Linked DNA regions of Rattus norvegicus. The protein of the gene in region 2 purifies or fractionates together with the protein of the main gene of each other region. This does not show direct contact. Links are inferred from orthologs where the notes say so. Each region holds a gene or a part of one and is shown on either strand. Other genes may lie near its edges. The genes, in order: Pgrmc1, Dusp9 and Mapk3.

Region 1 (2,998 bases), about 36 Mb from region 2:
TTTAGAAAGTTGACTCAGAGGCAGAATTTGACAATTCACAATAGAGTAGTTCTGCATTCTCTTTCTCAACTTGTTGCCTCTTTTCTTCCCATTTCCTTCCCTTTCCCCTTCTCACTACATAGCCCAGGCAGGCCTTTAACGTAATCGAACACCCAAAAGTTAAACTCCATTTTAAGCTACAGTCAAATGACAAAATCTGATTAAGAATATTAAACTTATTCTTCTGCGAATTTTACACATATATACCATGTGTCATGATCATATCTAAACTTTGGCTCTCCTGAACCCTCCCAGCATGTCCCCAGTAGTCTTTAAAAAGCTACCCCACTACATGTAATTATTGCTACCTGTATGTGCACACAGGTACAAGGTACTGGAGCATGAGGAACATACTAGCAGCCACGTTCAAAGAAAACTGACGAGCCCCACTGTAGCTGCCATCCACTACCAAAAGCTCCTCAGCAAGTTGGGATTATAAACTGCTCTTCAGTTGGGGCTTGGAGTTTGGCTGGCTTCATCTTGCTGTGTGTTCCTGAGTGCACCAGCCATGTCATGACTGGAATCAGCCATGGTACCGCACTACTCCCATCCCCAGTTCTTAGGTTTAAAAAAAATTAAAGCAAGTTAGCCTCTATATTGGGCAAAACCGTTTTATTAACTGACCCAAGCACTTCATTTTTTTTCTGATTTGAGGTAAAACCATTAAACACAGCTCACAAGAAAATACAATGACTATTTAACTACAATTACAAGAGTCTGAAACCTCACTAGTTGTTCAGATAATACTTTTACAAATGTATACAACTGCAGAGTCTACTTAAGCTAGGTTTAGTATTAACCAAGAGTATTATCCAAGACCTAGACACCTGACTACTATTTTTGAAGCGACTACGAGTTTTGTAACAACAGAAGGATTTAACTGTTACCTTAGGAATGTATTTTCCTTTCAAAATCACCCAGCTAGTGCCATGTAGTGTTTTCTCATTCTTCAGAGATGTCAGTGGAAGCTTTTGAAAAGCGCACACCTGTTCCTGTCCTGTATATTGCTCTCAAATTTTACATTTGGCCAATAACCACATAACCATTGCCCTGCTACAAGCAACAGATTTTTCTTTTGCAAAGTTCTACCTTGAATTTTCAGATTCTGTTGTAGTTCCAACTGCCAATTACCAGGTGTGTGAGAGTTACTGTGTGTGGGAGTGTCCACGTGGGGACAGGGATGATAAATCAGTCCATGAACACAGGCAATGTGTTTGCCCCAACTAAACCCATTATTGAGTTTTCATTTTGTTACTGGACTTCTGTTTTGAATCAATACCACAGACTTTGGAACACTGCAGTTTTGCTTTAGAGGTAGATAAAACAAAAATCATGCAGTTAAGTCTGTTGGGTAAAATGGGCTTGTTTTCAGACTATAGCATGGCTAAGACCTTCTCTCTTCATTCTTAGTACATTGACCATTTTGGCCACTGTGTGTGTGTGCACTTGCCATTTTGGCCAGTTTGTGGATAACCCAAGTTTTCCCTCTCAGGAAAATAAAATTGTAATTCAGTTTTAACTACAGATAGAAGAGAAACAGCTTTACCATTTGCATTAGAGCACTGAAGTTCACTTTCTGGATTTGTGACGTACAAACACATCATGCATTCTAAGACGAGTTGATTTTATCGGTGTCACTAGTGATGTTACTTAAAAAACTTACAAGTTCAAAACTTCTCTAAATATTGAAATCACCATGTTGTAAAGACAGACTGGAATGTTACAAATGATTTTGCAAAATACAAAAATAGATATGCTCCACTGACTGCTTCAGTCACTCTTCCGAGCAGCCTCATCTTTTGGTTCTTCATCATCCGAGTACACAGTCGGCTCCTCCCCTTCCTTCAGCAGTTTTCCCACGTGATGGTACTTGACTGGAGGTAAAGGAAAAGGAAAAGACAATCGGTCATTCTCATGACTTACAAAAAAAAAATCACAACATTTCATTTTAAAGCATTTATGAGAGGTCCACACATTATACTCAGCAATGTCTTAGGCTTCTGGATAGATATAAAGGGATTATTATATCATACTCTTTGCCAAAAATGGAATTAAGAATTTTGTTCAAAAGACAAAAATACAAAGTAGTAACCATGTAGGAAGTATTTATAGTAAGATCTTGCTATGAATTGGGGGTGGGGGGATACATGGAATAAAGATATGCTTTGGGAAATGTATGGACAGAATTTGGGTGAAAGGTATTTCCAGAAAAATGAGAACACATTCAAAGGCACACAGACAAGACAGGGCATATCTGGGAAACAGTGAGAACATGTTGTCAGGAGCAGAACTGGCATTTGGAAATAGTAGGAGGTAAGTCTGGCTAATCAGTGTGTGGGAATATTAGGAAAGACCTGAAAAGCCATCCTGAGAAATCTGAACTTCACCTATAGGTGGCAAAGGTACTGAAAGTTTGTAAGAGAAAGAATGACACAGCAAAATAGCACTCCAGCAATGTTATCACCCAGCTATGTAGGGCAGAATTCAGTAAGAGCAGTTGAGCAGGGTGACCAGGAGGCCTGGTATGCAGAGTCAGATATGAAGGAACCACAGAGAGGAGTTGGGTAAGACCATTAGAATTAAAGTAAAAGGATATGGGACAGCTTCAAAGAAACCTGGAAAGATCCATTAATGAAGCAGCATCTGGACAGCGTGCGAACCAAAATGAGGACTGCAAAAAAGGAGCCACCCTAGAAGGCCACATGAAAGGAGAGCCAGAGCAGGAGACAGAATTGAGAAATTAGTACCAGACAAGGATCCGGGAGGGATAGAAAGCTGAAGCAGTGCTTAGGGGCAACTTGGAGTATCTGTTAGTCCATGACAGGGGTCGGGGTCTGTTAAGTACATAGGCAGGACAGCAGGAGACAGACATGTTCCCCAGTGTGGGAAAAAGCTATGAGTAATTAAAGGAATGGCAAGGGACTAGGAAGGGACTGAAGATGTAGCCAAGAGGTGTGAA
Region 2 (3,750 bases):
ACGGTGACAGTGACAGAGCGGCTGACCCCTGCCAGACAGTGGACGAGCACCCCACAGTTCTGTGACAAGGCCTCATCTAGGTAGAACAGGAAAGAACAGAAACACCCCCTAAGGGTCACCATGAGTGAGGCCAAAGCTAAGTGAATTTCTGGGGTCATCATCGTTGTCTCCCCACCCTGCTTAGAGCATATCTGGGAGGTCTCACTGGTAGCTAACCTGAGCTCTACCCCCACCTCCCCAAGTGTCACATGTGCTCTGGGAATGCAGAGAGTAAGGAGGAGGTGGCCAGGAATCAGTCTGGTGGGTGGATAGAGTGGGCTGGGGGAGGGGTAGGGAGGACTCACCTATGAATGCAATGGCCTCCGGAAAGAACTGAGACAGATTCTGGCTCCAATGATCAGAGATGGGGATCTGCTTGTAGTGGAAGTCACCATTCTTCTCAAAGAGGTTAGGAAGGTTAGGGGTGACATTGAGGATATAGCGGATGCCAAGCTTGGCAAGGCTTTCCAAATTGGCTGAATCGCGAGCACTGCCTAGGTAGAGATTGGGCAGGATCTGGGCTGGGAAGGGTGGTAGCAGCCCAGCTGGAGGGGATGTGGTGCTCTCAGAATCTAGGCCACAGCTCAAGGTGTCTCGGTCAGCCTCGGACTCTGCATCAGAGAAATCAGTGCTCAAGCACAGGCCACCAAGCCCTACCACAGGCACTGGGCTAGACATTGAGCCCAGGCCTGAGCCAGCGCGACCACTGAAGCTGGTTTCACACAGGTGAGGACACTCGGCCTGGAATTTGCTGAAGCCGCCTGTCAGGAAAAAAGGGTGAGGTCTTACTAACATGCCTTCCTGGCAGCCAGGTATCCCTGGCCTATACAGCTCCCCGGATTGGGGGTTGCAGATATTGCTAAGGGGAACACATAAGCCAGCAGATTCCTTACACGTGCTATGCTATGGACACCCATCCACCCTCGCTCAGCATGGCAAGTGCCCAATGCAGCCCTTAGTCCCGGGGCAATAGCCTGTGACCCAGGTTGTTTCAGATCAATTCTCCCCATTTTCCAGATTTATAAATGGGCTTGGAGGGATGAAGGACTTGCCCAAGGTCATGCTCATCTCCCCACCTCCAAAAGCTCTCCAGCAGCTTATTGGAGGGAGGCCCTTACCCTATATTTTAGACAAAATAAGACTGAGTTTGCCGAAGGTTAAATTAATTATGAACTCCCCTTGGAAAGAAGGACCTTTTCTCCCGACCTGAGGCCTCTCCAGAGCGCTCTCTCTCAGACCACTGACCCTCACTTACCCTGTAGGTAGTATGCTGGGTAGCCTTCTTCCCGCAGCTTCTGGAGCAGGATGCCCAGCACCGAGTCAGCATCCCACTCTTCAGCTTCCTCTTTAGCCTCGGCTTTGGCCTCCGCTTCGGCCTCGGCTTTGGCCTCCGCTTCGGCCTCGGCTTTGGCCTCCGCTTCGGCCTTAGCTTCAGCCTCCGTTGCTTCGGGCTGACACTGGCCACTACCCTGGTCATAGAGGATCACAGGGGCCGGTGGCGGAGGCTGCACCGGTGGCCCAGGCAAGAGCGACCGCACCAACATGCTCCCTCTCCGCAGGCGGCGCAGCATCAGCGAGGGCAGGGCCACGCTCAGCGCCCCGCAGATGCGCGCCGACTCATACAGCTCCCGGCTGCGGCAGTCCAGTATCAGAAGCTGTGGGCGCGGGGACGACAGCTCCTGACGCAGCCACAGGCATGACCGACTCAGACTCTCCATGGTCGCGCAGCGTCCTGCACGTCGGGCAGCGGGCGCTGTGGAGAGAGTCAAGGCGCGGGGTGAGGGCAAGTTTTCTCTACTCCCGCAGCGTGGACCAGGCTACTGAGGCGGGAAGTCAACCCCTGTCCTGAGGGAAGGCGCTCAGTGTCCCCGCAGGGACATTCCTCTACCGCCTGCTTCTCTCCTCGCGCTCCACCCACAGTGAGAACACCAAGGAAGGCGCCCCGGGAAAAAGACCCGAGGCTGCCGCCACTTGGGCGCTGTTCCCTGCCCCGCTTAACACATGGAGTTTCAAGAGATATACCCCAGAAGATAGCTAGGCGTCTAGCGGCCTCTTGAATGAAGGCATTTTCTGAGGTGCTAGGAGGACTAAAACCAGTTCCCTCCACACCCCTTTTCTGACTTTCTCATTTACTCTGATCTCCATCACTCCCCAAGTTCGATTTTGGATGGGTGGAGAAGTTGGGTTCAAGGCCCGGCTCTCCTCTCTAGCCGGGAAGACCCAGAGAACAAGAGGGTCACCGAGGTGATGGGCCTCGGCGAGTCCCGTCCCGTAAGAGCTGACTCGGCCCCACTCCTACCCACCCCAGGAGAGAACAAAAGGAGAGACCTGGAGCGAGATCCAGAGGCAGGCGGCCAAACGCGGACGTCCTCACCACAGCTAGTGCCAAGGCAGGGCGCAGGTATCGTTCATGGAGACGGAGTCCCCAGGCTCCGGCGCTCAGAGAGGGCGGGGTGGTGGAGCAGGCTCGCACGTGGAAGCCAAGCCTCGCGCCACTCGTGCGCTGGCCGCTTCCTGGCTGCCGGATCCAGATTCCACCTTGGAAGGCTCTGCCTTCGGACGGACTAAGTAGCAGCTCAAAGGGGCGGGACGGGGCGGGGCGGTGGGGCGGTCTCAGGGGGCAGGCGAGCCAACCAGTGCTAACGAATAGCCTGGTGGGAGTTGCAAACCTCAAGCTGAGCTAGGGCTTCCACCCAGGCGGGACAGGGTCGGGGCAGAGGCCAAGGGCAGGTCGGGGGCCCAGCAGGGGACATGTTGCAGTTGCCCCTGCTTGGCGCCAGTCTGGTCCCTGGAAGCAGGAAGAGGGGTGGGGACAAAAGCCCAGAGCCCCAGAACCAGAAACTGTCTCGAACAACTCAACAATCCTGATCTGGAACTAGATGGCCCCCATCTGTATAATGGGCTAATCGGAGCCTTCTAAAGTGTTCTACTGTGAGATGCCACTAAAAAACTGAAGTGACAAGGCAGTTCCCGGGTGCGCTATTTCCATCTGGGCTTCATTTGTACAGGTCTAGCTAAAGGTACGCAGGAATTCTGAGCACTCGACTTTAAACTGAGACACTGTGCTCTTATCAGGTGAAGGCGGGCGCCTCCCCATAACATCTTTCCCATAACCCCCTGGATGGATCCACGTGGAGGGAAGTAGTTTTACTGCAATATGTCCCTATCCCCATGCTCCTTCTGGCTTTTGCAGTGGTCATGACTATACATGTCAGTGTCCCAGTTTCTGAAACTTCAGCTTGTCTCCACCCTGCCCCATTCCAGAGCACTATTCAGTCCACAAAGGCTAGTGGCCTCCAACCAGCCCATCAGACAGGTAATGAACAGGAAAGACACACAAGGGCTCTCCTTGCCTGGGTCTTCCAGTCCAGCAGGACACACCAACAATAAGCAAAGGCACTGGACCAGATATCGGGGTGATAAGTGCTGACAATGAAAGGAGAGGCAGGGGAGGCTTCTAAAAAAGCCCCATTTGGCCATGTGTCCTTTCTCTGCTAAAAGCCCAAGAAAAGCAAATAACAGCGTTAAAGGAAAACACACAACAGATAAGATAAAGCTCGCACAAAATAATCAAAGGGTTAAGACCCCGTAGATAAATGGGTAAGGAACTCAAGGACTGCATACTCTGCCCGAAGGAAGGAATGTGATGGGGTAAGAATATTTGGGGAAAGGTTGAAGCTCAGGCAGGGAAGGAAAGCCAATTCAAAAAAA
Region 3 (3,750 bases), on a different chromosome or scaffold from region 2:
AAGAAAAAGGAAAAAAAAAAAAAAAGAAAAAAAAATGGTTTGGGGCTGGAGAGATGGTTCAGCGGTTAAGAGCACTGACTGCTCTTCCAGAGGTCCTGAGTTCAATTCCCAGCAACCACATGGTGGCTCACAACCAACTGTAATGGGATCTGATGCCCTCTTCTGGTGTGTCTGAAGACAGCTACAGTGTACTCACATACATGAAATAAATAAATCTTTAAAAAAAATTTTTAGCATTCTTATGGTAACATCTTTGCTTACCTAACCATCTTACTAGCCTCGATCCAGGGTCTTGATTTTGCTGTTTGGCACGCGCACGTGTGTGTGTGTGTGTGTGTGTGTGTGTGTGTGTGTATCTGTGTCTGTGTGTGTCTGTGTGTGTGTCTGTGTGTGTGTAAGAGAGAGAGAGAGAGAGAGAGAGAAACAGATTGTACATTTTAATTGATTTAGTTATCTTTGTTCACAGTTATCACCCTTTCCCTCCTTCTCATATGAAGTGGGCTGGGTTGCATGTCCTCCAGGCAATAACACTGGGTCTCAGAACACACCTGAGCCCACTGCAGGCCTGCCTCTTCACAGGAGCATACCTGACTTCACAGCTTTCTAGTGCTGCCTGCCATCCACCACCCTTCAGACTGCTTCCTCACTATAACACTTAGGATAAGCCCACCACCACCACAGGGGGGCCCAGCAAACGTGGGTACTTCCTACCAAGTCTGACAGCCCAAGTCGGATACCTAGGACCTGCACAGCAGAAGGAATCTGATATCCTCTGATCTCCACACAGGCTCTGTGACATACTCATGCCCCAACACACAAAATTAATAAATGTGGCAAATAAACGAATAAGAAATTATGGAATCTGGGCATTGTGATACAGTCTTTAATCCCAGCACAGGGGAGTTAGTATGCTGAGGCCAGCCTGGTCTACATAGTGGGTTCCAGGACAGCCAGTTCCATGTCAAGAGACCCTCTTAGAAAAAGGAAGAAAGAAAGAAAGGAAGGAAGGAAGGAAGGAAGGAAGGAAGGAAGGAAGGAAGAAACGAAGGAAGGAAGAGAAAAAAAGAAAAAAAAAGAGAGAGAGAAGATGGAAATGTGGCTCAGTGATAGGATTCTTGCCTAACATCCAGAATCTGCATGATGGCTCAGGCCTAAAGGTAGGAGGATGTGGCCAACCTCCACCACATAGAACCTTTGGGGCTGGCCTGGATTAATACTGTCTGCGTAAATGAAACAAAAAGTGAGAGGCAGGTCTCCAAAGTTTAGGGGTGGGTTCCCTCAGCATCACTCAGGGCCACTGGCCCCTGGGGCTGCAGTACTCTCTAGGCAGACTAAAGTACCCTAGTGGCCAAGGCAAGGAAGGAACAGCGTAACTAGGCGGGAAAGCCGGGCGCGCTCTCAGTAGACCACGTGACATCGCGGGCCCGCGCAGGCTCGCCGGGCAGGCGCGGGGGCGGGGCGCGCGGGGGCGGGGGCGGAGCCTGGCGCGCGGCCCCGCGGTGACAGGGCGGCAGGGAGGGGCGGGGCCGCGGGCGGGGCAGCGGGGGGAGGCGGGAGGAGTGGAGATGGCGGCGGCGGCGGCGGCTCCGGGGGGCGGGGGCGGGGAGCCCAGGGGAACTGCTGGGGTCGTCCCGGTGGTCCCCGGGGAGGTGGAGGTGGTGAAGGGGCAGCCATTCGACGTGGGCCCACGCTACACGCAGCTGCAGTACATCGGCGAGGGCGCGTACGGCATGGTCAGGTGAGGGGGTGTCCCAGGAGGGGGCTTCAGAGCGGGGACAGCAGGTGCGTGCCCGGGACATGGGGTCCGGGGAGTGTCGCAGGGGAGGGATCGTGCAGTGACTTCTGGGGGACCAGGAGCTACTTTCTCCGGGAAGGGGGGTTGGAGGCTTGGAAGCCACCTTGTATTGTTAAGGGAGGGGCACCTGGGGGACCCTAGAGATACAGGTGGAGCTAAGAGGATGACTATTCTTGGTGAAGGGGGAGTGAGAGACCCATAAGCAGGTAGTGGGAGCCTTGGTTCCCCCCTGATGAGGTTGTGACAGAGTTTGAGAGAGCAGAGCAAAGCTCAGGGTGGGGCAAACCTTTGCACCCCTGCCCCTGGCCTTGCCAGAGGCCCAAAGTAGGGAGGGGTCTCTAGAATGTGCCTTATTTTGTGGGATACAGGTTTGTGAGTTCTCGCTGCCCCACTCTGTGCTCTGGGCCTTTGTTCCTATGGGAACAGCTCTGACCCAGGAACCTCACCGGGAGACAGACCTACCCCTTCTTATCTCTTCCCCTGTCCCATTACTGAATCCTCTGGGTTTCATCCACTCTCTCCATTTAACTCCCATCCCCTGGACCTGTCTTGGATTGAGAGAGTCCAGCTCAGGAAAGGGGAGGAGGGTGAGGGCAACTACAATGTAAGAGGGTCCAGGAGAAAGGAAGTCAGTGAGTGGCCACTCTCTTCCTCTGTTTGTGAAGTCACTGAAAGGCTGCCTGGCTGGTCCCCAGCTTTCCCCCTGGAGATTCCAGGCCTTCACAGCAGGAAGGAGCCAGCATTGTTTACACTTGGCCAGAACCCTCTCCTGCTCTCTCCGGTCCCTGCCAAGGCCTGGGTGGGGCCACCAGGCCTGGATTCCCCCTTTGTAAGGCCACACATCTCTCTGGCTCTCTCAGCTCAGCATATGACCACGTGCGCAAGACCAGAGTGGCTATCAAGAAGATCAGCCCCTTCGAGCATCAAACCTACTGTCAGCGCACGCTGAGAGAAATCCAGATCTTGCTGCGATTCCGCCATGAGAATGTCATAGGCATCCGAGACATCCTCAGAGCACCCACCCTGGAAGCCATGAGAGATGTGTATCCTTTAGCCACAGCTCCAGAGCGAGGCTAAGGAGCTTGGCTTTGCTTTCTGTTGTCGTCTGTTGTGCCACCCTCAAAAAAAAAAAAAAAAAAAAAAACCAAAAAAAACCAAAAAACTTAAAAACCCAGCAAAGTAACTTTTTAGCTGAGAGTCTACGGAGCAGAAGAGCACCCTGGCAGGCCTTGGATCCTGGTCTGTTGCAGCCAAGTGGAGTGGCCTTGAACACATCCTTTTCTGCTCTGTGCCCCAGTATGGTGTGTGGGGAGGGGAGAATGCTGGGCAAACCATCTCTATGGGAGCTTTGTCTTCTGACATCTGCAGTTCTGTGACATGACCCAGTCTCTGCCCACAGCCCTTTCTTGCTCAACAGACTCACGATTCTTTAGAGACCTCACACTGGATTGAAAGCGAGGAAGAAAACCAGCATTGGGCATGCCTAGCGCTTTGGTTCTAATTCAACCTTTTAGCTTCCCTGTGTGATGAGCTTTACCGCGTCCATTTCTAAGATGAGGAAACTGAGGCTCTGTGTTTTGCTGGGCCTTCTGTGGGGGAGGGGCGATACTTTCTCCAACGTGGAGAGGGTGGAGGCTTTCACACCACCTTGCATTGTTAAGAGGAGGAACCTGAAGACCCTAGACTCACAGGGCGGAGCCACGCCTTTGCACTCCTGGTCTAGCCAGGGGCTCAAGGAAGGACGAGGGGCCCTGAGAGTCTGCCTATAGAAGAAAGCCTAAATTCAGCTGTTCCTGTTTGTTGCTTCCTCTTCTTCCCCAGTTGGCTTTCTTGGAGCCTTCCCACTCTTCTGAGAGCCCCACCCTGATTACCTGCGGCCTTGTACCTTGACCAGGAAAGGTAGTCCAGCCCTTGTTGCCCTTGCTTGACACTGCTTGCCTAGTTCAGACATTTAG

Evidence for each region.
Region 1: the proteins of Dusp9 (region 2) and Pgrmc1 purify together in Homo sapiens (affinity purification with mass spectrometry; 3 studies listed by BioGRID). This does not show direct contact. The link is inferred for Rattus norvegicus from reciprocal best matches to the Homo sapiens genes DUSP9 and PGRMC1.
Region 3: the proteins of Dusp9 (region 2) and Mapk3 purify together in Homo sapiens (affinity purification with mass spectrometry; 4 studies listed by BioGRID and IntAct, with this or other methods). This does not show direct contact. The link is inferred for Rattus norvegicus from reciprocal best matches to the Homo sapiens genes DUSP9 and MAPK3.

The regions. Positions count from the first base shown.
Region 1 is NC_086039.1:120,704,442-120,707,439, reverse strand, and holds the end of Pgrmc1 (membrane-associated progesterone receptor component 1), read right to left. Parts: intron 1,914-2,998; coding exon 1,810-1,913; 3' UTR 635-1,809; downstream 1-634. UniProt on the Homo sapiens protein: Component of a progesterone-binding protein complex. Binds progesterone. Has many reported cellular functions (heme homeostasis, interaction with CYPs). Required for the maintenance of uterine histoarchitecture and normal female reproductive lifespan.
Region 2 is NC_086039.1:156,502,037-156,505,786, reverse strand, and holds the start of Dusp9 (dual specificity protein phosphatase 9), read right to left. Parts: upstream 2,551-3,750; 5' UTR 2,368-2,550; intron 1,793-2,367; 5' UTR 1,758-1,792; coding exon 1,295-1,757; intron 801-1,294; coding exon 345-800; intron 77-344; coding exon 1-76. UniProt on the Homo sapiens protein: Inactivates MAP kinases. Has a specificity for the ERK family.
Region 3 is NC_086019.1:190,795,663-190,799,412, forward strand, and holds the start of Mapk3 (mitogen-activated protein kinase 3), read left to right. Parts: upstream 1-1,531; 5' UTR 1,532-1,565; coding exon 1,566-1,738; intron 1,739-2,655; coding exon 2,656-2,838; intron 2,839-3,750.